3 linked regions of the Elephas maximus indicus genome follow. The protein of the gene in region 2 interacts with the protein of the main gene of each other region in a pairwise test. Links are inferred from orthologs where the notes say so. Each region holds a gene or a part of one and is shown on either strand. Other genes may lie near its edges.

What was found.
Region 1: the proteins of TCL1A (region 2) and TXLNA interact in binary tests that used the Homo sapiens proteins (3 or more experiments, as listed by UniProt). The two-hybrid records come from large-scale screens. The link is inferred for Elephas maximus indicus from reciprocal best matches to the Homo sapiens genes TCL1A and TXLNA.
Region 3: the proteins of TCL1A (region 2) and CADPS interact in a two-hybrid assay, tested with the Homo sapiens proteins (3 studies listed by BioGRID and IntAct). The two-hybrid records come from large-scale screens. The link is inferred for Elephas maximus indicus from reciprocal best matches to the Homo sapiens genes TCL1A and CADPS.

Annotation. Positions count from the first base shown.
Region 1 is NC_064821.1:73,087,774-73,095,590, reverse strand, and holds the start of TXLNA (alpha-taxilin), read right to left. Parts: upstream 3,004-7,817; 5' UTR 2,898-3,003; exon of another isoform or gene 2,832-2,897; intron 2,347-2,831; 5' UTR 2,315-2,346; coding exon 2,137-2,314; intron 1,512-2,136; coding exon 1,173-1,511; intron 1-1,172. UniProt on the Homo sapiens protein: May be involved in intracellular vesicle traffic and potentially in calcium-dependent exocytosis in neuroendocrine cells.
Region 2 is NC_064828.1:109,306,505-109,314,395, forward strand, and holds the start of TCL1A (T-cell leukemia/lymphoma protein 1A), read right to left. Parts: upstream 3,006-7,891; coding exon 2,886-3,005; intron 1-2,885. UniProt on the Homo sapiens protein: Enhances the phosphorylation and activation of AKT1, AKT2 and AKT3. Promotes nuclear translocation of AKT1. Enhances cell proliferation, stabilizes mitochondrial membrane potential and promotes cell survival.
Region 3 is NC_064838.1:67,984,034-67,991,923, forward strand, and holds the start of CADPS (calcium-dependent secretion activator 1), read right to left. Parts: upstream 3,004-7,890; 5' UTR 2,711-3,003; coding exon 2,285-2,710; intron 1-2,284.

The sequences.
Region 1 (7,817 bases), on a different chromosome or scaffold from region 2:
TGGCTGCCTTCCCTGCTAGACTACATGCTTCGTGAGGGCCCCAGGACTCTCCCTAGTGCCTGTCACAGGGCACATGCTCAACCGCTGAACAACTGGGCACCTGTGGAATCTTGGTGGGCACCACCGGTGGGAGAGAAAAATGGCCTGCTCTATCACCAGATGAAAGGTGTCCCACCTTGGAGTTCAGTGCTACTGTTTCAATGCAAGGAGGGCCTTTCCAAAAGAGGAAGGATCCAAGAAAGCTAAGTCTCTGGCCTCCCTGAGAATGCACTGAAAATTTCCTGTCAACAGGTAGCCAAATAGTGAATGAGTATAAAACGAGTATATCTTCCACATACGTGATTCGAAAATCTCTTTTTTGTATGTGCTTTAAATGAAAGTTCACAGCTAAAGTTAGTTTCTCAAGTCTAAGATTTTTTAAAATAAATACTCTCTCTTCAAATTAGGGCAACAGCTGAGGGTAGGAAAGTAGGGAGTAGGGCACAGGTATAACATCACCCAACCTCGATCCTTTAATAGCCTGTCAGTCACTACCTTTCCCCGCTGCCTGCACCTGAGTCAGAGAGTTCACTGCTCCCTCCCTGGGGGCCACCTTGCACAGAACAGCACCAGGCTCCTGAGTGTCAGTCTTGGGAGTCTCCAAGAGTTGGGTGTACAGGCTGCAAGTCACTGGCACACAGGCCAAATCCAGCCCATAAACGGGTTTTGCTTGGCTCCTAGTGTTTTAGTTGCCAACAGTTAAAAAAAAAAAAAAAAAACTGGCTGCAGTAAGCCTGCAGCTTTGGCTGCTATCAATTAGCTGGGACCAGGTGGCAGTCAACCTTTGGATGAAACAGGCATTCTCTTGATCCACATGGGTCCCCTGGTTAGCTTGGTTTATGGGGACATTTGAGCTTTTGATCCTGGTCTAGTCTAGTTCTCTTACTAAAAAGAACTGGAAACTAAGGCCCAGACAGGGGAGGGACTTGCCCAAGGTCACACTGTGGTGCTGGCTGGCACGGGAGCCCACCAAGTCTCCTGCTCTCCATTTTCTCAAAGAGCAAGCAGGCTAGATTTCAGCCCCACTTGCTTCTGAAGCCAGGTGCCCTTGTGCAGTGAATGACCTGAACATTTCTATGTTGTGGCCCCACACAGCTGGCTCTGGTTAAACTAAGTAGCTATCCTCTGCTCACCCAGCCCCTTGGCTTTCTTCTTCTCCTGTGGCCTCCGGTGGTCTCGGTCTCCGCCTTCGTCACTCGCCCGGATCTCCTCTGTGCCTGGCTCCCCCTTGGAAGTCTCCTTTTCACCATTGACTACTGGGGTCCCTGGCTCAGGCTCCCCATTCCTTGCAGCATAGCTCCGGGACTTCTCTGCATCTTCAGGTTCGGCGGGCTCACTCTGTGCCCCATCCTCACCTGGGCCCCCCTGATTGTTGTCCACACAGTAAGTACTCAAGATGTCTTCCAGCTGGCGGCTCAGCTCCTCGGACACATCACGGAGGGCCCCAGACTGAGCAGTTTTGGCTTGAGCCCCTACAACAGAATAGGATGAGGTGCACAGTGAGAAATGAGATGGTTATATCACTGGTTGGGGCTCTTCAGGCTCAGCCAGACTCACCGGGTTGGGTTAAACATTGCCTAATCTCTTTAAAGCTCAGTTCATTTCCCTATAAATGGTGTAACTATCCCTCACCACCACCCAATAAGGTTTGCTGTGAGTATAAAGGTATGTAAAGCATTCAACATGGACTAAGCACTTAGCATGAACTCAACTTCTAATCTCCTCCCCTCAAAAGCTGTTCCTTACTATTAAACAAGTTCCAGAAACACCTCAAGTATGGATGGCAGTTACCCACTGGTGACTGAAGTGTCTCCTAAAGGGACGAGGATTTGCTAGTCAGGCCTCTCATTTGACTGCCACCTGGTTTAATCCTGTCAGCCTTCTCTAAAGAGGGTTCTGCTCGTGTTTGGAGCAGGAGGCTATATCAACTCCCCCGGAAAGGGTGGGGAATCACACAGACTCTGCACTGTCCTCCTCTCATTCTACATTTCCTCTTCCCTGGGTAAACTGCTGGCCTCGGCTTCAAACTCCAGCAGCTAAGCAGGAGTACCACAAACTCCTCCCCCTGCCCGATGGAAAAGCAAAGCTGGCACACACCCTCAGGCTTCCCCGGGGCCTGGGTGGTGGAATCTTCAGCTTCGGTTGCAGGAGCAGCCTGGCTGGGCCGCCCCTGAGCTCCCTCTGGTCCCGCTTCCGGTTGCCCTGGGTTGCTTTTTGGGTTGGAAGTGTTGCCTGATGGCTTGGCAGCCCCATTCTTTTTGTCTTGGTTCTTCATTGTGGTTTGCAAGGCTAGATTAAGAGCAAATCCTTCAGAAAGAAACACAGTTGCTATTTTCCAGACTTCGAAAATCTTCGCCGCCCAATGCCAGGCGCACAAAGCTTCTCAAAACAAAAACAAACTGGTTGGCCTCTACCGGGGGGAGCTAACGGTTCTCCCGGTCTCTGCCCGGTCAGGGGAGCCTGGCGTGCCCAGGCTGGTTTTCGGGGCGCTACTCCTAGAACGGGCGAGGACAGAGGCCTCCCTCCTGCCGAAGCCACTTCCCGGCACAACACGGCCCCCTCACGACAGGCCGAGCGCGGGATTGGCTCAGGGCCGAAGACTGACGTGGCGGGATGCTCTATTCCCGAACCCTCCCCCCCGCCCCTAGGACTCACGTGGGCTCCGCGAGCGCGCGCGCGCGCAGCCACCCACGCCCCGCGCGCCCTCCAGCCGCGCGCGCGCATGCGCAAGGCCATAACCCGCCTCCCCGCCCTAGCCCACGCACGAAATCGGCGCGACTGCCCCCACTTGCCGAAAGTATCCAGGCATACAGGGAGCACCCTGATCGTCTCGTCCCGCTAGCTGCAGCAGCACGTACCTCGCCGCCGACGTACCGACGGCTTCACCCGCTCTGGCCGCGCACCGGAAACCCTGGGCAACCGCTTTCGGCAGAGCGGCCCGCTCTCGTCGCAGCCAATCAATAGCCCGCGCTCTCGCGAAGCTTGCTGGGAAAGCTGAGGCGATGGCGGCCTTTGAGGCGGGTAATTGGGAAGGCGGGGGAGGGAAGGGACTACATGTCCCTCCATGCATCGGGGCTAGCTGTCCACAACTCCCAAGATGCAAGGGAAAGGGCTTCGTTCTGGCAGCCGGGTACCCTGTAGGTCCGGAAGGAGCCAGTTACTATGCATAAATACCTAGAGTAACCTCATTATCATTCAGAAGCTGTGATTCAGTACCCAGGCTTTGCTCCTGGCTATTCTTTCCTGCACGCCACCACCCTCTCACCCCACATTGTGAAATTCTATGCCTCTTATTTTTAGTATCTGGGGGACTCTGAGGCCTCTCGACGAGCGATGGATTCTTGAGTCGAGAGACCTGTATTCCAGTTCTGACGTCATCACTGATTTGTAGTATGACTGGGCATTCTTTTCTCTCTCTGGGCCTCAATTTCCTTTTTTCAAATGGAGGCTTTTAATAATAGCAATAACAGGTTATTGGGTGCCTGCCATATGGTTAATCCTCATAACTACTCATCGAGACAAGTACTATTGTTATTTCCCATTTCCTCATGAGAACAGTAAGGCAAAGGTTAGATAACTTGTCTAAGGTCACACTGCTAAAGAGTGGTTAGAGCAGGGATTCAAAACCAGGAAGTCTGGCACCAGGCCACCGTACTAACTACTCTGCCATGCTTTCCCTTAGGATGAGTCGAGGTGACTTATTTTTTTCCCACTCCTCATCACCAGTTGGAAACCCTGGTGGCCTAGTGGTTAAGAGCTGCTAACCAAAAAAGTCGGCAGTTCTCCTGTGTCCTATAGGGTCGCTATGAGTCCGAGTTGACTCGAAAGCAACATTTTTTTTTTTTCCATCACCAGTGTGGCAACTAGTCTCTTTGGAAAGGGCTGAGGACACCCTGCAGGGAGAGCTTGGCCTCAGACAAAGATTCCCAAGCCTTTTTCTCTGACAGGCCAACCCTACGCAGGCCACTTCATCACACCATCTGACTAGACTGACAAAGTCCCAGTGGCACTGGGGCTAAAGCTGGGGGGGGGGAACCCCAAGCTTCTCTCCAAATATGGAATCACAATTCGTTATCCCTGCTACCTACAGATAATGGAATAAAGGCCAATAATCCTTGCGCCTGGAGCTGAAAGCCTAGACGATTTGGCTTCTTCTGTTTTCAGCCAATCCTCCCCATCCCCACTCTCGTTTTTGCTTCAACTGTACTTTTACTCTTTCCAGCATTTCTCAGGTTTTTGCAGATCCTATTTCCTCTTTTGAGGCCCAGCTCAAAAGCCTCTTTAGAGCCTTCCCAATGCTCTGCAATCTGTCCTAGCTCCCTACGTCTAGATAGAGTTCTATTACAGCGTTATCACCAAGGTGTTGATACTATTTGCTTGCAAGTCAAAGAATACTGTGGGGAATTGTTAGCTAAATTCTCTTGTCCCAAAGGCTAGCACTTGGTGAAGGCAGAGAATGGTTTTAAGTTGTTCAAATTGAGCATTGTTTGGGGGCTGTTAAGATGTTAAGTATTTCCCCCAAAAGTTAAGGAGACCATAGGGCAGAGAGCTCTGTTTAGTGGCTCCAGACATCAAGGTTTGCCTTTACCAGGTAACACTGAGAGGCAATACGGTATAATTGTGTGATGAAGGAACTGAGAAGCTAGGATTTGGAATCCAGGTCTCTTGAAATGAAGGCCTCATTTCCGGAAAAGCATGTTAGAAATCCCTTGAGGAGGTTACATTATCAATAAGGCCTTGAAGTTCTAGGAAAAAGAAAATAAGAACAGGCTTAAATGGAGTGAGGGGTGGAGGGTATAGCAGAAAGGTCAACACTGGCCTCCAGGGACCAGACGGGTAATAAGAGTAGATAGAGCAGGCACCACGGAACAAGAAAAATAGAAACATGGGTTTAAAAAGTCACTTTCTCAGGTATAAAAGAAATATGGCAATGAGTCAGGGAGACAACTAGTATGGTAGTGATTACGGTAGAGAGGTCCTTGCAGATTGTTGCCAAGCAGAAACTTAGGCCCAGTTATGCCAGATATTCAGTGTTTTTCAAGACAGCTATTTCTTGATTTTTTAATGTTGTTAACTAATTAAAACTTAAAACTCACTATCAGCCAAATAAGACCTTCCTTTTGGGCGAAATCAAATTGTTGGCTTCTTGTCTAATTTGTGTTAGGAATTGCTCTAAGCTGAAGTGAGGAGTTTGTGAACTGTATGACCTCAACTTTTATGAGAACATTTCTTCACTGGCAAAATGGGGACAATATTCAGTTAGCTTGTAAGACTCGAAACAATGTCAAGATCCTTTATAGCAACTCTAGAAAATGCGAACTGATCTATAATGACTATAGAATGCAGGTTAGTGCTGGGGCACAGTGAAACTTATGGGGGTGACGGGTATATTCACTATCTTAATTGTGGTGATGGTTTCACGAGTGCATGTATATAAAAAATTATCAAATTGTACACTTTAAATAGGTGTAGTTTATTGTATGTCAATTATACGTCAATAAAGTTGTTAAAAAAAACAAAACAAACCTTTTATAGCAGGAGCAGGCTGCAGCGATTTTTATTTCTATTAGACTAACAAGTTTAAATACCCTTTCCTCATTCACCTCCAAATAATCCAGCCTAGGTTCACTCCAAACCAAAAGAGACGATTTAGAACTTTGCAACAGGTTTTTATTTTTTGCTTTATATCTATTATTACAGTGTTTGAAACCTAAAGAAATACATTTCTCTTCAAATTTGGATGTGTATATAAATATCATTTGTCTGGACTCAGCACACTCAATGCCATGGTTTCTTGGCCTATGTCTGCTCTAAAATCATCAAGCTGTGTCTGTCTACCCAGGGGCCCTGAGAACATGGAAAATAGCCAGAGAGTTTATGGTTCTTGGAAAAATAAAAACAAATGAATTAGGAAAGAAATACCAGTAAGGAGGAGAAGGGCTGGATTCACCTTTCTAGGGTCTGTAGCTGGGAACCAACCTGTTTTGGGGGACATCTGCTTTGCTGGATGGTTGGGGTCCTATACCTCCTTTTCCTTCTCTAGTGATAAAATCAAAGGCAGTTTCCACAAAAGCTGGATAAAGAAGCCAATACCCAACTCCAGGGCCTGAGGATGCTAAGGACATCCTCTGAGGCAGAGGTTCCTAGTCAGTCTCAGGGCCTCTTAGGTATGCCTTCCTTTACTGCCCCAGAGCATGCAGACAGTTTTCTCTCCCTAAGCCCAGGGGCTGAAAATCTGACCCGCTTAGGGGAGTAGGGCTAGCTTTCAACAGAGGGGTTCAGGTAGTGCTAATGTGGACATAAGAAGTCAGGCTGGCCCAGAAGTAGCCAGGTAGGCCCAAAACCTTTATAGCATACTATGCAAACCTCTCTCCCAGAGTGTCTGGGCCCCAAATTTAAGTCAGTAACTCTCAAAGCCAGTTTTGGTTCTGCACATAGCCCAGATCTAATGCAAAATGCCCTCAGAGGAAAAATAACAGCTTTAATACATAAAGTTGGTTAGTCTTGACTTCAGTTTCCTCCCCTGCCATGGTCTTATCTGGGGTAGGGCTAAGGGATAGGCAATGGGATGACTGAGTCATTACCAAGGCCTTGGCCAAAGAGCATCTAGTGTCTGCCACATGGATCCCTGTAGGGCCAATTCTCGCTTGGGGGCTTAACAAAAGAATTTAAAAGCTAAGACACAGAAAAAATACTGGATAAGGTTGGTCTAGAATGTGCAATCCTAAAACAGCTGTGGAAGAAAACTACTCTGAGCAGTTTCATTCCCACACTCGTGCACTCCTGGAGTAGTCCTGGCCTGGAACATATTGCCACTGGTTATGAACATTTCTTTCCTATGGTTCAGCATCCTGAGCCTTGTAACCCTCCCCCAGGCTGCCAGGGAGGCCGGCAGGCAGGCACATTCAAAGAAAGGCTTTTTTCCTCCATTGCCCTTGTACAGAGGATAGAAGCAATTTTTTAAGGAACTACTTTGTACACCTAAAGCAATGTCTCTGACATTAGGCTGGCCCCCAGCTGGGCTGTTCTCCTTATGACCCTGCAGTGCCTGCAGGGACCTGGAAAATAGGAGAATCTAGAATCTGAGCCCATAAGATGACTCCATGGAGGAATGCCTAAGATGATGAGTGAGTCTAGGGGAGGAGAGGAGGCCTGAGGAAATGAGGGTGGCCTTCAAAGAGGGACCTGGGTTGAGGAAGGAATTATTGCTAGGCTTTCATCTCCTTCCCTTCTAGTTAGCTAGAACACGGATAGCTCTAGGGTGCAGGGGGAAGGAAAGCAAAAAGGAGAATATGGAAATCCAGTTCATTCTGGTAGATGGTTTTAATTTTAAACTGGTTTGGCTTTAGTGAAATAGAAGGTCTGTGCTGAGAGCCTTCTTTCCCTCTTCCTTGACTAAGTATAATTGCAGCTACAGATTTGTGTAGTTCAGCTCCAGAAAATAGGGTTCCTGGAAGAAACAAAGAAGGTGGAAAGAACAGATCTAAGGGTTCTAGTAAGGGGGAACACCAAGGGCCCCTGAAAGCTGGGGTCATCAACACCTGCTCCTTGGGAAGGTCATTTGTGCCCATTGCCCCAAATTAACTAGGCTGGTCAGTTGAGAATAAAACCCATGTGGTTCTACTAGAAGGCAGTCACAGGGAGTAGCTGGGAGCTGAAGACCAAAGACCCTTTTAGTACTAGTGAGCTGATCTGGGAGTGGAGAGGGCCCAGAGGGGCTGGCAATAAATAGCTGGCACAATTCAAAATAATATTTGAACATTTTAGCTAAGAAAAAA
Region 2 (7,891 bases):
TCTTTATCTTGTCATATTTCTTCTTTTAAATAAGATATCCCTGGACCCTAGGATCTGGTGGCAGGCTGCTTTCCACCACCTCTAACTCTCACCACCAGCACCTCTCATCTGAACTACCGCAGTAGCTCTGTAAGTCACCGCCTGGTGCTCCACGGTCAGTTCTCTGCACAGCAGCCAGGGTGAGCGTCTAAAAACCACACCACTCCCCTGCTCAACACCCTCTGATGGCCCAGTCCCAGGCAGAATGAGTGGAAATCTTTACCACACCACACAAAAACCCACACTGCCGGGCCCCTGCCTCCCTCCTCTCTTGTGGCTCTGTCCTTCACTCTCCACCCTGTCCTGGCCACACAGGCCCCCTCTCAATTTCTCGAACACGCCACACTCATGTCTGCTCTCAGGATCCCTTGCACCTGCTGTCCTCTATGCCTGGAACATTCTCCCCCAGATCTAGGCAGGGTAACACCCTTCTTTTAGGCAGGTCTCTGCTCAACTGTATAAAAGTTCTTGGGTGGTGCAAACGATTTGTGCTCAAATACTAACCTAAAGGTTGGCAGTTCAAACCCGCCCTGTGGCACCACAGAAGACAGTCCTGGAGATATGCTTTCGTAAAGACTACAGCCCAAGAAAACCCTACGGAGCAGTTCTACTCTGTAGCACGTGGGGTTGCCGTAAGTCAGAATCGACGCAGTGGCTAAAGGTCTGGTTTTGATTTGGTTTCTGCTCAAATGTATGTATATAGAGACAAACATAATAGGAAACAATATGGCAGAACTGAGACCAGACTCATCAGTTATATCAGTAACTGACAATGAGTTCAATTCACCAATCAAAATGAATGAGCTCAGCAAATCCAACTCTATGACTATGTAAGAGCATCCCTACAACATGGAGATTCAGAAAGTTTACAAAGAAAACGACGGGCAAAAGAACATTAAGACCCTCAGAGGGGTCTTGCCTGAAGACCCCCACATCACTCACTGTCTCCTCCCACCCCACTCTAATTCTCCTACAGAACTTACCACCAGCTTAAGAGCTATTTTTTTATCCATCTCTCCCAGCAGACTGTCAGCTTCACAAGCACTGAGATTTTATCACATTTAATGTGTGCCCCAGAGCCTAGAACCCTGCCTGACATGATACTTAGCACTCACATTTGTTTAATGAACAATTTTTCAAAGTGGAAATAGTCTTATTTTCTGTGAAAGAAACTAATGCTCACTGTTAAAAAATTATTCAGATCACACTGCAAGATGTAAGTGTGGGTATCACTATTCTTGCCTTGTTAGTGTTTCTTATTGATTTAAGTAAACCTTTATATATGAAGAATAGTGGTTCTTTTAGTCATGTGTGGCAAATCTCACTCTACTCCTCTTCAGTTTGCTACTGGGTTACTTTCCATGCAGAATTTATACTGATTTTGTGGAAAACTCTGTCTAGTTCTTGGTTTCAGTGTCATGTTCAAGAAGATATTCTCCAGAGATTAAAAAAAAAAAAATACATTCACCTAAATTTTCTTCAAATATTTGAATTAAAAAGTAAATATTTAACTTGATTTTTTAAAGTATATATATATATATATATATATATGCATGCTTTTGAAATTAAAATATAAATTAATACCAAGTTTAGAAGGCGGTTAAGAGCCTGGAATTCCAACCCCTTTACCTACTATCTGTGCTACCTTGGACAAGTTTACATTTTTATGCCTCAGTTTCATCATCTGTAAAGTGGGGACAGAGTCAACACTCAATAACTTTTTGCTGTTTGCTATATTACATGAATGTTCTACTCTATATTTTAATTCACTTTTATACTTTCTTCACTCTACATATGGAAAATTTTCAGTATTTTTCACCTTTGGGGAAACCAAGGCTCTGGTGGAAGGCACTTGCAAAAGAGTTATATTTCTTTAAGAAGAAATTCGCATTAGCTAAGGATCCATCGTAAAGCATCAGGGGTAAAACAAAGTCAACGTTTATTCCACACCAGCCTTTTTAGTAAGGTATTACGCGTTAAATCGGCTTCCTCCAAAGCATAGAGAAGGTATAAAACACCCCATCCTCTGGGAGTGGTTCCCAAACTTAAGCCCCAGAAAACCAAACCCACTGCCATCAAGTCGATTCTGAATCATATCGACCCTACAGGACAGAGTAGAACTGCCCTCACAGGGTTTCCAAGGAGCGGACGGTGGATTCAAACTGCCGACCTTTTAGTTAGCGGCCTGAGCTCTTAACCACTAGCCGAATCAATCTATTGAGGGTACTTTTTAAAACACGTATTTCTGGGGCCCACACCAGGAGGGTCTGATAACCGGCCAGGCGTAGGAGTCACTTACTCCCTTACTTTAGAGAGATATTATTCTCATTTGGCAGAGAGGTTAAAAGCTCAGGTACTAACCAAAAGGTCGGTAGTTCAAATCCACCAGCCGCTCCTTGGAAACCCTACGGGGCAGTTCTACCACGTCCTATAGGGTCGCTACGAGTTGGAATCAACTCCACGGCAACGGGTTTGGGTTTTTTTTTGGAACCTGAAGCCCAGAGAAGTCCTGTCTTAACCAAGATCATATTCACACATGCCAGAGCCACTGGGTCCTCATCCGTTAGCCTCCATACCTTTGAGTAATCACCACCCTCCTTCCTGGCCTGGAGAACTCCTACTCATCCTTCAGAACCCTGCTCTATAAGTGGTTTCATCTGCGAAGCCTGGGCTGCCCTTTGTTAATCAGACCCCTTCCAAGCCTTCCTGCCACCACCCTCGCTGCCGGACCGGGGCTCCTCAAAGGCCCAGCCCAGCCTGGGGCATCTCCAGCTCCGGGGGGCCCCGCCGGGAAGGCAACGAGCGCCCATACAGTCCTGCCTGCCTCTGCCTGAAGCGGGCTGTACCTCCATGATTATGGGCAGCCAGGCGTGCTGGTTCTCGTCCAAATACACGGCCTTCTCCCAGAACCACAGGCGGTCCGGGTGCAAGACCGACTGCGCACTGGAGCGCCGCTGCTGGGCCATGGAGCCTGGGGCAGTCAAGGAGGACAAGCACGGCGCCACTCGCCGCCACTCGCTGATCGGAGGGATGCACGGCCCCGACGCATTTATAGCGGACCTCGCACAGCGCCCCCAGGTGGCGGGGCGGGAGGAGGGCGGGGCGCGAGGCGGAGAGTGGGGCGGGGCGGAGGGCGGGGCGGAGCGGAAAAGGGCAGGGTGTGGCGGGAGAAAGGGGTGAGCCGGCGAGGAGTGGCGCGGGCGTGGCTGTGCCCTCGAGTAAGATCGGGGGCAGCCCTGAGGCCCAGGCCCCAGCCCCAGGGGTTCCTGGAGTTCCCAGCCAGCCGTCCCGCCCAGCCCCCACACCCCACTGCTGGCCGGGTACCTTGCTCTATGACCCTGGTCCTTTCTGCTGTCGCGAGGCGCCGTTGTGGCGTCAGGACCCCACTGTCCGGAACCACTGCGTGTGGCTGGTCAAGCCAACCCTGGACTGGGGGCTCCAGGCCTCTGCTGAACTCGCAGGCTACCCTTGACCCCAGGCACCTGGAGCCAGTGGCCCTCCAACTCTTCTGGGCCTGAAAGCCCCTGCGGCCTGACCCAGGCCTCGGCTTCCCTGGCTCACAGAATCTGTGTCCTTGGCAACACTGCAATTCTTGAAGTGCCCCCTCCGCCCAGGCACACATTTTCCACGGCTTTGATGATGCTGTGGTTGTCTAATAGCTATTGTGAAACAAGGTGATGAAGAAACATGGGCCGTTCCCTTTATAGGCTCTGAATTCATTAGAGAAAGCGTAGCTCAAAATGAATGCTTGGAAAGAAACCCCTCCGCCCCAAGATCAATGGAGTTGAAAAGTCCCTGGGTTATGTGATCAAACTGTCCCTGGAAGTTACAGCAAATAAGGAAAATAATTTCACTTCATGTTGGAGTAACACATGCCCATTAAGACAATTAAGAACATAAAGGACAAGGGAAAAAATGTGAAACCATTTCCAGCCTCTTTGCTGAAATAGCATGACTGGTCACGGTTGGGTGCCTGGCCTTTCAGTTCTCTCCCATCTTTCTGATTAAAAAAAAAAAAAATTGCCACCAAGTCATTTCTGACTCATGGCCACCCTGTGTGTGCAGATTAGAACTGCCTTCCTTAGCCTTCCTTAGGGTTTTCAAGGTGGTGACCTTTCAGAAGCAGATCACCAGGCTTTCTTTCAAGGCCCCCCTGAGTGGGTTGGAACCACAACCTTTCGGCTAGTAGTCATTTGCACTGCCCAGGGACTCCTTTCTGACTGGGCACCAAGAAAATAATTTGGGATCCTTTGAAATGTCGTAAAGGTGAAAATGAGTTTGATGTCTGATCCCCTGACAGCAAAGGTGAGTATTTGCTTCTCCGCGTATCCAGCTAGCCTAATTCCCAAGAATGAGCTGAGGTAGCCTGAGGTAATAGCGATATGATTGGATTTACCGGGAGCACAACAGAAGACAAAAGCCTAACAAAGCTCTTTCCAAGTGAAGCCCATAGTGGTGTTGGCATTTAATATTCAGACTGCTGGCTTTCAGGCTGAATTCCCTGTGGACCGTCCTTGACTAAATAGCCACTGGGAGTGAGATGAGATGAAAATGGTGGGAACAGGCTCTATGGGGGAAGTCGCAGCCTGGTCCAGAGCTTTGAGGTCAGAAATGATAGCAAGTTCCAGCTTAAGCAGCACCTCTGGCGTGGACTCTTGTGGCAATTAAGGAGCATCCAGGAGCCAGTGTGGCTACTGACCCAGTCACCTCATTTGCCCCAGGACTCACTGGGTCAGCTGTTCTAATTAGCACTCACTCTGCTTTTGGAGAATCAGAGGCCTTTTGGCTGGATAAGCTTGCGAATCTTCCAGGAATGAGGTTCCCTCCCCGCACCTCCACCACCCTTTGGAAGGACAATGTATTTCTTCAGTTTCACACTGGGGCGTCTTAGTATTAAGCAAAAGTATATGTTATTCCTGTGCGGGACTTAGAAAATTATTTGAGAATGGGTTCCAAAAAATGAAAAGTAAAATAAGGATGGCCCAGAAGGTTAATGGTTTCTCTGGCGTCTTTGAGCCTTTTTCATGGAAATTCCACAGGAGGGGAAACAATAGCCATTGTGTAGTCCTGGGGAACTGGGAATGTGTGTGTGTGTGGGAGCCTCCAGCATGTTATCTACATCATCTTAGGGCTTTCAGTCTATTCCTTGGTAACTTTGTCCTTTAATGGTCTGCGAGGTTCCCCCGAGAATAATCAAGTGGATGTTCTGTGAAGAAAATAACCCAAAACAGTTATTTTGACTCATATTGACAGAATCCTTAACTGATGCCCTCATGTCTTGACTTGGACCCAGTGTTGACTTTGCTACTACCACCTGTGAACTTGGCAGAACCTCTGCCGTCTGGGCCATACTTTTGTAATGAATGGACCAAGCTAGATATGCTCTAAACCCATTTTCAACTCAACCATGATGAAGTTGCCTATTGGGAAGTGAGAATAGACAAAAGCTGGACAAGCTCATGATATTAGTTCAGGAATGTCATGAGCAGAGTGGACATTAAGGCCCTCAGTGGAATTCACTCTTCGGGAGTGAGGAAGCCATCCTTCCTGTTTGGGTTCCAAAGAAGGATGCTGAGGGTGAGTCGTGGCCATAGTATTATCTAGAGCCTTGTTCCTCTAAGTGTGTTCCCTAGACCAGCAACCATTGTCCATCAGAAGGGGCGGCACCAAAATGACTCTCCATAAAATTTTCGTCAGTGTTCCAGTAGAAATTTATTATTTTTTATAAAAATATCACTGTAGTTAGTTACAACAACAAAAACATTTTTTGTAAACCCAGCTTACAGGTATCAATATACCTACAAGGCTGAAACTCTATGCTAATTTACTTTTGAGCCTGTTAATGCCCTCAGGTCAGAGCCGCCATTATTACTCAATTACAATGATGCTTTCAATCACATGGTTTTGCCCACAGGTGCTACAAGCACACACTTGTTTTCGTTGCTGCTGGTATTTTTATAGCCTCTGATTTTGTCAAATTTTCTGATGTTTTAGCTACAATATTGTGGTAATTAGTATTTGTGAACTTATATCAATAACTCTTTTGAGAAGAAAGTAGTAATTAAAGGAAAAGGAGTGATATACCAAAATTATGATTTATGTACAAAAACATTGCAAAGGATTCTGTATGGTCTGGTATGGGAGGAGGTCCATGCAGGGGTGACACCATGAGTAATTGCACTGAGTAACACCAATCCTAGTGACGCCACTGCCAGCAACATCAGCATCACCTGGAGCTTATGAGAATTGCAGAGCCTTGAGGCCCACTGCAGACCTGCTGAGTCATAATCTGTGTTTTAACAAGATCCCTGAGTGAGTCGTGGGCACATTTAGTGCTGGTCTAGGGGAACAATTAGGGGGAAGTGGCGGTGGGTGTCTGTCTCATGCCATCAGTGCTCTCTAGAGTTCTTTAACTATGACGCAGGAATTGAATAGGTATCTCTGTATCATTTAGTTCCCGGTTATCTTTTGTTATGTTAAAATCACTTCCAATATATACTGTTTTCCTCTTAAGAGAAAATCCTGGCAATTAAGGTCCTCTTAACCAATTTCAATGATTGTAGCTAGCTGTAAAGACTCTACGTAGAGGTTACTAAGGTGTCCCTGCCTCTGGGCCCCTACGCTGATTGGCCCTAAACCACTAGGCCAGTGCAATCCTGGCTGCCTATTAGAAACACCTGGAAAGTGTTGATAAACTACCTGATCCTCGACCCCAACCCAAACCAATTAAATTAGAATCTTTGCGTGATAAGGCTTGGGGAACAGCCAGGGTTGAGAGCCAATCCCACACCCTAAGATTTGGGTTACTGTTTTTGAGGTGTGAATGAGGTTTGTAAAACGAAATAACCGTGAAAATTTTAGAGCTGTTCTGGTCCTCAATGTAAACCTCACCCTGACCTGTAGTCTATATCTTTCCCTTTGCTCTAGTTTAAATTTGTTGCTTCCAATCTTTTCTGGGCAGTGAAACATAGCATCAAATTTATTAGGATTGTAATCTCTCCAATGAGTAAAACACAGAAGCCCTGAGATGTAGAACCTAAGGCATCCATACTTGTCACCTGGGGTCTTTTTTCAAGGATTCTTGGGTCTGGGCCATATTTTGGATAATTGAGACTGTTGATCATATGAGCACAGTTTGAAAAAATAGTTATAATCTTTACCCATAAGAGATAAAATTCTATTTCTAAATTAACGGGCAATCTGGGATGACAAGGATATTCTGCACAGAGCTCAGACTGACCATAGCTTTGGCCACTGCATGGCTATGATCTTTCTTTAAACTGAACAGAGTTTTAAGTGCTTCTCAAACCTTAGAGAAGTTTGAGAACCCCCAGGTGTCTGTCAGTTTGTCGTACTGTGGGGGCTTGCGTATTGCTGCGATGCTGGAAGCTGTGCCACCAGTATTCAAATACCAGCAGGGCCATCCATGGCAGACAGGTTTCAGCTAAGCTTCCAGACTAAGACAGACTAGGAATAAGGACTGGTGGTCTACTTCCGAAAAGAATTAGCCAGTGAAAACCTTCTGAATTATATATGATCAGGAACCAGGGGTACTTTAGGAAGAAGTCCAAGCTGCACTGAAGGCATTCGTGAAAAACAAGTATCCCGGGAATTGACGGGATACCAACTGAGATGTTTCAGCAAACACATGCGGTGCTAGAAGCACTCACTCATCTACGTGGAGAAATTTGGAAGACAGCTACCTGGCCAACTGACTGGAAGAGATCTACACTTGTGCCCATTTCAAAGAAAGGTGATCCAACTGAATGAGGACGTTACCAAATAATATCATTAATATCACGTGCAAGTGAAATATTACTGAAGATAATTCAAAAATGATTGCAGCAGTTCA
Region 3 (7,890 bases), on a different chromosome or scaffold from region 2:
TTTACTGCAATGATTATGCAAACCTTTTAGTTACTTTCAGTGGTCACTTTTTTTTTTTCTATCAAAGTTCCAAGCTTTATACTTGGAAAAACATACACTTACCAAAATACCCTTTTTCAGGGAGGCACTAAAAACTTAAAAAAAATACACAGCAACGGAAAAGCCTATTTACCTTTAGTTTAAGAAGGAATGGACATACATATGGAACGGACATATATATCTTATTACAATGGTAAATACATATATGTGTGTATAAATACATATGTGTGCATGTGTACATATTTTCAGCTCCCCAGTGTAGCTGTGGCTTTGCCGAGATGAATCCAGGACTACTTTGCGGCAATAACTAAAAATAGTTCCACCAAAAGCAAGTGTCAGTTCTGGACTCTCTCTGATGTTAAGGTCATGTGTAAAAACAACCAGCTAGCCCTGGAATACCACTGCTTTGAATGGATTCAGGTGAAACACGCAATCAGCTTAGAAAACTGTGGCCTCGTGATAATCTTTCTCAGGTGTTTGAAGGCTCTGTTTAGCTCGGCTTTCTGTGGGAACAGTCTCCTTCCCTCATCCTGGTGCCTGGGTTAAGCATGCATTTAAAGACCAGAATTCTGGAGACTTTCGAGCGATAAATGGCAAGGGGTATCTTTCGTTCTTGTTTTTGCTTTTTGGAACTGACAACAGTTTTCTCTGCCAAAGGAATAGGACATCTTTGGTTGGTGCAGCTATTAATGGGATAGATTTTGGAGATGGAATTTCCCAATTACCCTAATTCCAAGTGAAACTTGAAATGCCGGGTCCTGTGCAAAGGACCCAACATCCAAGCTCAAGAAAGCATATCCAGAAAACTTTCACTGCTCTGAGGATACTTTTGCTTTCTGCGGTCCAAAACATAGGTTGAAAAAGCAAAGCGGCTGTAGTGGGGAGCAAGGCCGTGATTGCGGGGGGGTGTGGGGTGTGTAGCCCGTCTGGTGTTTCTCAACCAGGAAATGAGTTTTATTTTTTTAAATAAAACTATTAACCAAGCTCGTGATAGCTGAAATAAATCATCAGCGCTGGGCGGTGTATGTACATAGATATGCAAAACAAACAGAGAAATCTGTGCTAACTCGCGATAAGAGGATAAATATAGGAAAACCCAACACTCCCCTACAGTAACATACAATTTCGTCTTAGAAGCAACCTAGAAATTCGCTATTTTAAGAAACGGGTCTCACAACCTTGGCGGGGTTAGAGCTGCCTTCTCACACCGCCCCTCTGGGGGCTTGAGTGGCTTTTCCGCTTGCTCAGGTGCAGCAGATTCATTTAAAAGAGACTGAGCAGAATGCTGACTTTCCTCATTAACTCTCTCCAACCAAGTACCTGACCCCTTCTCCTGGGACCCCTGCCGCAGCACCTCTCCCAGCAGTAACCACCCTCGCCTTTCTCGGGCTACAGTGCCGCTGAGAGAAATCGGCGCTTTTTTCCTATCAAAGGCAGTCCAAGCCGCCGCAGCCTTGCCCCAGCCTCAGACAAAAAAGCTTTTGATGCTTGTAATTGCGAGGCTTTTTGCAACTGCACTTTATCAAGCCAACAGGGCCGGGTCTGGAGGGCCTGGGCAAGCCAGAAGGTAGCGGCGAAGTCACCTTGGGACGAGGAGTGGCGGGCCGAAGGGAGGCAGGTGGAGGGGCTGACCCGGGCGGAAGGATCAGAGGGCGCGGCGCGCCATGGCACCCGGGCGGAGGAGGAACAGGGGAAAACCTCTGCCTGGGGCTCGCGCTCCGGCACCCCTGGGCGACGCCAGTCGGGGGCCAGCCGGCCGGGCGGGACAGGAGGGTGCTCACAGCCTCCCGGACTCGCTCCCTCCGCCCGTCCGCGGATGCTCTCCGCCCGCCGAGCCGAGCGCGGCTCCGGGCGCTCTCGTCCCGCACAGCCGGCGCCCCGCCCGCTGAGCGCACGCCCAGAAGGGCGGGCCCCAAGCCGAGGGCGGACACCGCCTGGCGCCGGAGCGCGCTGGGAGCGCAGCGAGCGAGCCAGGCCTCACGCCCCAGACCTCCGGGCCGCCAGGCAGGACCTGCCGGTGGCGTTCCCGACGCTCGGGGAGGGAGGCCCGGGTGCGTCTGCTGGGCTCCAGGCCCCTGTCCGGCTCTCGGCCGCTGCCGGCGCGCTCTGGGCTGGGCCGGGCCCGGCCGCGCGAGAGTCTCGGAGCCCCTTTCCCGGGTGCCCGCGGCGCCGCCAGCTCCCATTGTTCGCCCCGCCACCTGGCGACGTCCCGGCGCCGCTCCCGGGGCCTCCCCGGCACACCTACCTTCTGCTGCCGGCGAGCCATGTCGGTGGGCTGCTTGGCGTTGAAGGGGTAGGCTATGCAGCGCATGACGAACACATAGAGCTGCAGCCTCTTCTTCCTCTCCTCTTCCTCCTTCTGCAGCCGCTCCAACTCCTCTTTCTCCTTCTCGCTCACCACCGACGGGCTGGGGCTGGAGGGCCGGCCGCCGCCGGCGCGGCTGCTGGGCTGCAGTCCCCCGGCCCCGCCGCTGCCCGGGCCGCTGCCCCCGCCGCCGCCCGCGCCCACTCCGGCGCCGCTGCCCCCCAGCCCGGCGCCGCCGGCCGAGCCCTCGCTGGTGCGGCTGGGAGACAGGCGCGCGCCGGACGCGGCCGAGCCGAGCACCTCCTTGCCGCTCTCCTCTTCCACGATCTCATCTGACTCTTCTTCGCTGGACGAAGGGTCCAGCATGGTGGCGCCTGAGGTGGGGGGACCCCTGCAGCCCCCGGCTTGGGGTGCAAAAGGTGGGGGGCGCTGGAGACAGCTAGGGGTCGGCTCTCCCGGGTGGTCGCCTCTCACCAAATCAGGGAGTGAGCGCGCTGCTGCTCAGCCTCGCCGCGGCGACTGCTGCTTCCGCCCGGCGACCGGGAGCTGGGCTCAGACCCAGGAGCGCGAAGGGAGGAGGGGCAGGGAGAGGTGCGTCCGTGGACCCGAGATGGGCAAGGGGGAGAATTAATTGCGAGCCCGGAGCCCGCAGCCGGATGCCATCTGCAGCCTCTGAAGGAGGCGCCTCCAGAAAAGATGCCGAGTGTTGCAAGCTGTCGATGCAGCCAAGAGCCGAAGAGGCATCTTGCCGATTGGGGAGGGAGCGGCGCTTACGTGTTTATTGGCTTAACTCTCCCGTGTCCGCAGCGTAAAGGGCGGCTGCAGAGAGCTGGAGGGAGAAGAGCGCAGCGCGTGCCTCAGGGCCTCGGTACTGACCCAACGCCGTCCCCTCCTTGTTTTTGTGGATAATTTCTTTTACGATCCCCATCTCTCATTGTCTCGACCCCTCTCCTCCTCCGGCAGACAAAAAGTTCTTGGGCAGGGAGAAATAGAGAAACCAGTGGTGAGTTCTTGTCTGTGAAGAGGGGACTGTTTGGAGACGCTAAATTCAGAGGTCTCACTAAGAGGAAGTCTTCGAGATTCCACACGGGAAAGAAAGGATTCATCCTCTATCCCCAGGCTTCTTAACGCCTGGGGCGTGGGGGCACTGGGCTGGGCAGTGTGTGTGCCCCACCAAACTCTGATTACAGCAATTTAGAGATGCCCACTGCCATTAAAATAAACGTACCAAATTTTGAGTGGATTAGGGCATCAACCATGCAGCTCAACTATTGAAGTAGTACCCCCCTCCGCACTCTCCCAACCCCCAAAACTGTGAGGAACGTTCAGCTCCGAGAAGTAGATTGCTTTCTGCTGAGCGAGACTGCCAGAGAAATGGAAGCGTTGCAGATTGCTCAGTCTTTCCTCCATTCTGGCTCGCTGGAGGATGTAGGCGGTGAGTGGGGACCCCGAGATCAAAATCCCCCCCGAGAACTCAGAGGCTTCAGCGTCTAATGCACTGGCTCTGTCGCGCTGTCCTCATCCCTGTTTCTCCGGTTATCTATTAATAAAAAGCGGCAGATGGTGCCTTCCTTCACCCGGCGCCTTCCACTAAGGTCAATAAACCCGGCGGAAGGGGGAGCTGGCCAGCGTGCTGAATCTAATCAGCGAGCCCGCAGATGTATCCAAAAACAAAATAACCCACCACCCTGGAATCTTAGGCTATCCTGAGACCCCTTTCCACCTCCCCCCATCCTATCTCCTATGTTTATGGATTTTCTAATTATCCGCACGTACTCGTGGGAGCGATTGTAAAAGTGTAGCTTGAGTTTAAAGTTTACATCACATCTGTCTCTATGTGTTTTGCAAATTTACCATGAGCTTTTCTGTAGGCTTTGATATTCCAGTGAAGCACTGGCTAACCTGTCTGAGATCTAACAATGAACTCAAAACATCTCATTTCACATTAACTTCAACAATTTTGTTTCATTTTTTGAATTAATATATGGATAGTTTAGACTTCACCATCAAACTCTCTTCGAGGACACAATTTCTGTGACCCTGGCACAGTCTGTATCAATTTAAAATAAACAATTGAACAATGGAGATTGCTACAATTTGTCCTCACTTTTCCATTCTTCTAAAGGAGAAAAAAAATGTTCAAATCATGTTGTACTGGTCTTTCTGGGACAGAAACGAGAGCAGGCCAATCAGACAACAGAATTCATTCAGTACCTTTCTACGGAATGAACGCTGTTCTAGTGTGGTGGCTGGAATTTTAAGACATTCTTTTAAAGAGTCTGTCTTAGTTATCTAGTGCTGCTATAACAGAAATACCACAAGTGGATGACTTTAACAAACAGAAGTTTACTCTCTCACAGTCTAGGAGGCTAGAAGTCTGAATTCAGGATGCCAGCTCCAGGGGAAGGCTTTCTTTCTGTGTCAGCTCTGGAGGAAGGTCCTTGTCATCAATCTTTCCCTGGTCTAGGAGCTTCTCAGTGCAGGGACCCTGGTTCCAAAGGACTTGCTCCCGTCCTGGTTTTTCATTCTTGGTGGTAGGCAGTCCCTCATCTCTCTCCTTGCTTCTCTCTTTTATATCTCAAAAGAGATTGACTCAAGATACAACCTAATCTTGTAGATTGAGTCCTGCCTTATTAGCATAAGTGCCTCTAATCCTGCTTCATTAACATCATAGAGGTAGGATTTACAACACAAAGGAAAATCACATCAGATGACAAAATGGTGGACAATCACACAATACTGGGAATCATGGCCTAGCCAAGTTGAGATATGTTTTAAGCGGATACAATTCAGCCCATAACAGTCTATAACCTCCTTTTAGAAATACAGTATAAACACCTAAAAGGATTAATGACACTTATTTCAAAGCAACATATCAACAAATTCAAGTCAATAAACTGCAACAAGCTTACATAAATAAAGCAACTTGGAGCGGGAGAGAATGGTATATTTCTCAAAGGAGAGGCCAGCTTTGAGTTACATTTTAAAGGAAGAACATGAGAAGCATGGTGGAAAGGGAAGATATTATAAATGGAAAAAGTGGTCAATAAAGCTGTAGCTATAATTTTTTTTTTTTATAAGGCAAGGGACCAAGTAAGGCACAGAGTTCTAAGGAGATGGGGAGTGGGTAAATAAGGTGAGGCAAGGAGGGAAAGAAGAGCTGAAATTATAATCCATTTGGCCAGGAGAAGGGACCATGTTTAGGACACAAATAAAAGGTTAGCTGGGAGCACGTGGTGATTGGGCAAGGAGGGAGGTGCTCTTGAAATTCGGACAAAGGCCTTTTACTAATTAAATATTTCTTCGTTAAGCGATTATTGGTGGCAGAGTGGCTATGAATTTCATCTGCAGAGCCATTTGTAATTTCTCTGTTATAATAGAATTTTGCTTGGTTTTGTATTTTTACAAATTTCTTTGAGGTTATGTTTTGTTTTGTTTTTTCCCCAATCATAGTCATCAATACAGAGATTCAGTATCCACCTTATGTTAATCATATAAACCAATGATTTTTGTATTAAATATAATATTGCTTAAATAAATTTAACAATCTTCTTAATCTCCCAGGACTGTACAATCAAAGAGATTAAATTGATTTTACCAAAAATACTTCTATAATTCTTTCAAAGGTGTATATTGCTGTATTTTTAAATGTACACCCTTTCAAAGACATCGCTTAGCTACAAGTCAATTCAATGTCCTTGGAAATATAACTCTTTACTAGTGCTAAAGGTAAGATATGCCAACCAGAACTCCATGGACATCTGAACCAGGATTTGTGGCTTCCCTAAATGCAAATTTTGATGAACAAGATAGAAAGTAACACCAGAGAGCATCCAAAGACTTTTTAATGTTTTTCTGCCTCTTGTTAAAAAGGCACAACAATGGACTAAAACATACCAATGATCATGAAGATGGCACAGGACCAGGCAACATTTTGTTCTGTTATATATAAGGTCACCATGAGTCGGACCAGCTCAGCGGCGACTAACAACAACAAAATCAACCTCTTGTTAGTAACACCCATGTTTTAATTTTTTAAAAACCAGAATTCTACCGTATGTACTTACACACATAAGTATTTATGTCCCCAAACAAGCTATTTTAAGTACTCGCCTGTTTGTGCCATTCCCACCTTCAGTTGTGTTTTGTAGGAAACTTGGATAACCTAAAGGTGATGGAATAAATTTTATTTCAGCCATCTGGAGGGCATATTATGAAAGTAGAAGTTCTGTATCAACTACGTTTTTTCAAATCCCACCCACAAAAAAACTGAGGAAATGGGAATGACTAAGATACTAGATCAGGGTTTTCTAATCTAGACCTAGACAATCTTCGTTCCTCTCTAAAGTGTTTGCTGTGGTGATTATTACATAACAGGCCACAAATACACGGGAATGTCTGACTCGTTTTCAATTGATCAACACTTTGGTGAAAAACAATCACTTTTTTTTTTTTTTTTTTTAGTTTTTTCATTGTTTTTCCAGTAACTGATATTTATTATGCTATTTTTTAAAGTTTTTTTTTTTATTGCGCTTTAGATGAAGGGTCACAGAACAAACTAGTTTCTCATTAAATAATATACATATTGTTTTATGACATTGGTTAACAACACCACGATATGTCAACACTCTCCCTTTTTGACCTTGGGTTCCCTATTACCAATTTTCCTATCCCCTCCTGCCTTCTAGTCTTTGCCTCTGGGCTTTTGTGCCCCTTTAGTCTCGTTTTGTCTTATGGGCCTAACCTTTGACTTCAGGGTGAACCTTAGGAGTGACTTCATTACTGAGCTAAAAGGGTGTCCAGGGGCTATACTCCCTGGGTTTCTCCAGTCTCTGTCAGGTCAGTAAGTCTGGTTGTTCTTTTTGAGTTAGAATTTTGTTCTACATTTTTCTCCAGCTCTGCCCAGGACCCTCTCTTGTGGTCCCTGTCAGAGTAGTCAATGGTGGTAGCCGGGCACCATCTAGTTATACTGGACTCAGTCTGGTGGAGGCGTAGTAGATGTGGTTCATTAGTCCTTTGGACTAATCTTTCTCTTATATCTTTAGTTTTCTTCATTCTCCCTTGCTCCCAAGGGGTGAGACCAGTGGAGTACCCTAGATGGCCCATCACAGTCTTTTAAGGCCCCAGACACTACTCACCAAAGTAGAATGTAGAACTTTTTCCTTATAAACTCTGTTATGCCAATTGATCTAGATGTTCCCCGAGATTATGGTCACCACAATGCTTAGCCCAGCAATTCAGTCCTTCAGGGAGTTTGGATGCATCTATGGAGCTTCCATAACCTTGCCTTGTACAAGTAAAAACAATCACTTCTTTATGTAACTCTAAATCATGTTTCCCTCAAATAAAATCCAGTTTAATGTTCATTTTCATGTTTTTGTATGTTTGTTACTAGAGGATAGAGTTTGGCCAAGTTAAATCTCTCTCTCTCTCTTTTTTTTTTTTTTACATTTCACAGTAAATTTTATATTATCTAGATATAGTCATCTCATCCAATATTTTTTAATTTAAAAAATTTTAAGAACTGCTCACAAGCACCAAAATGG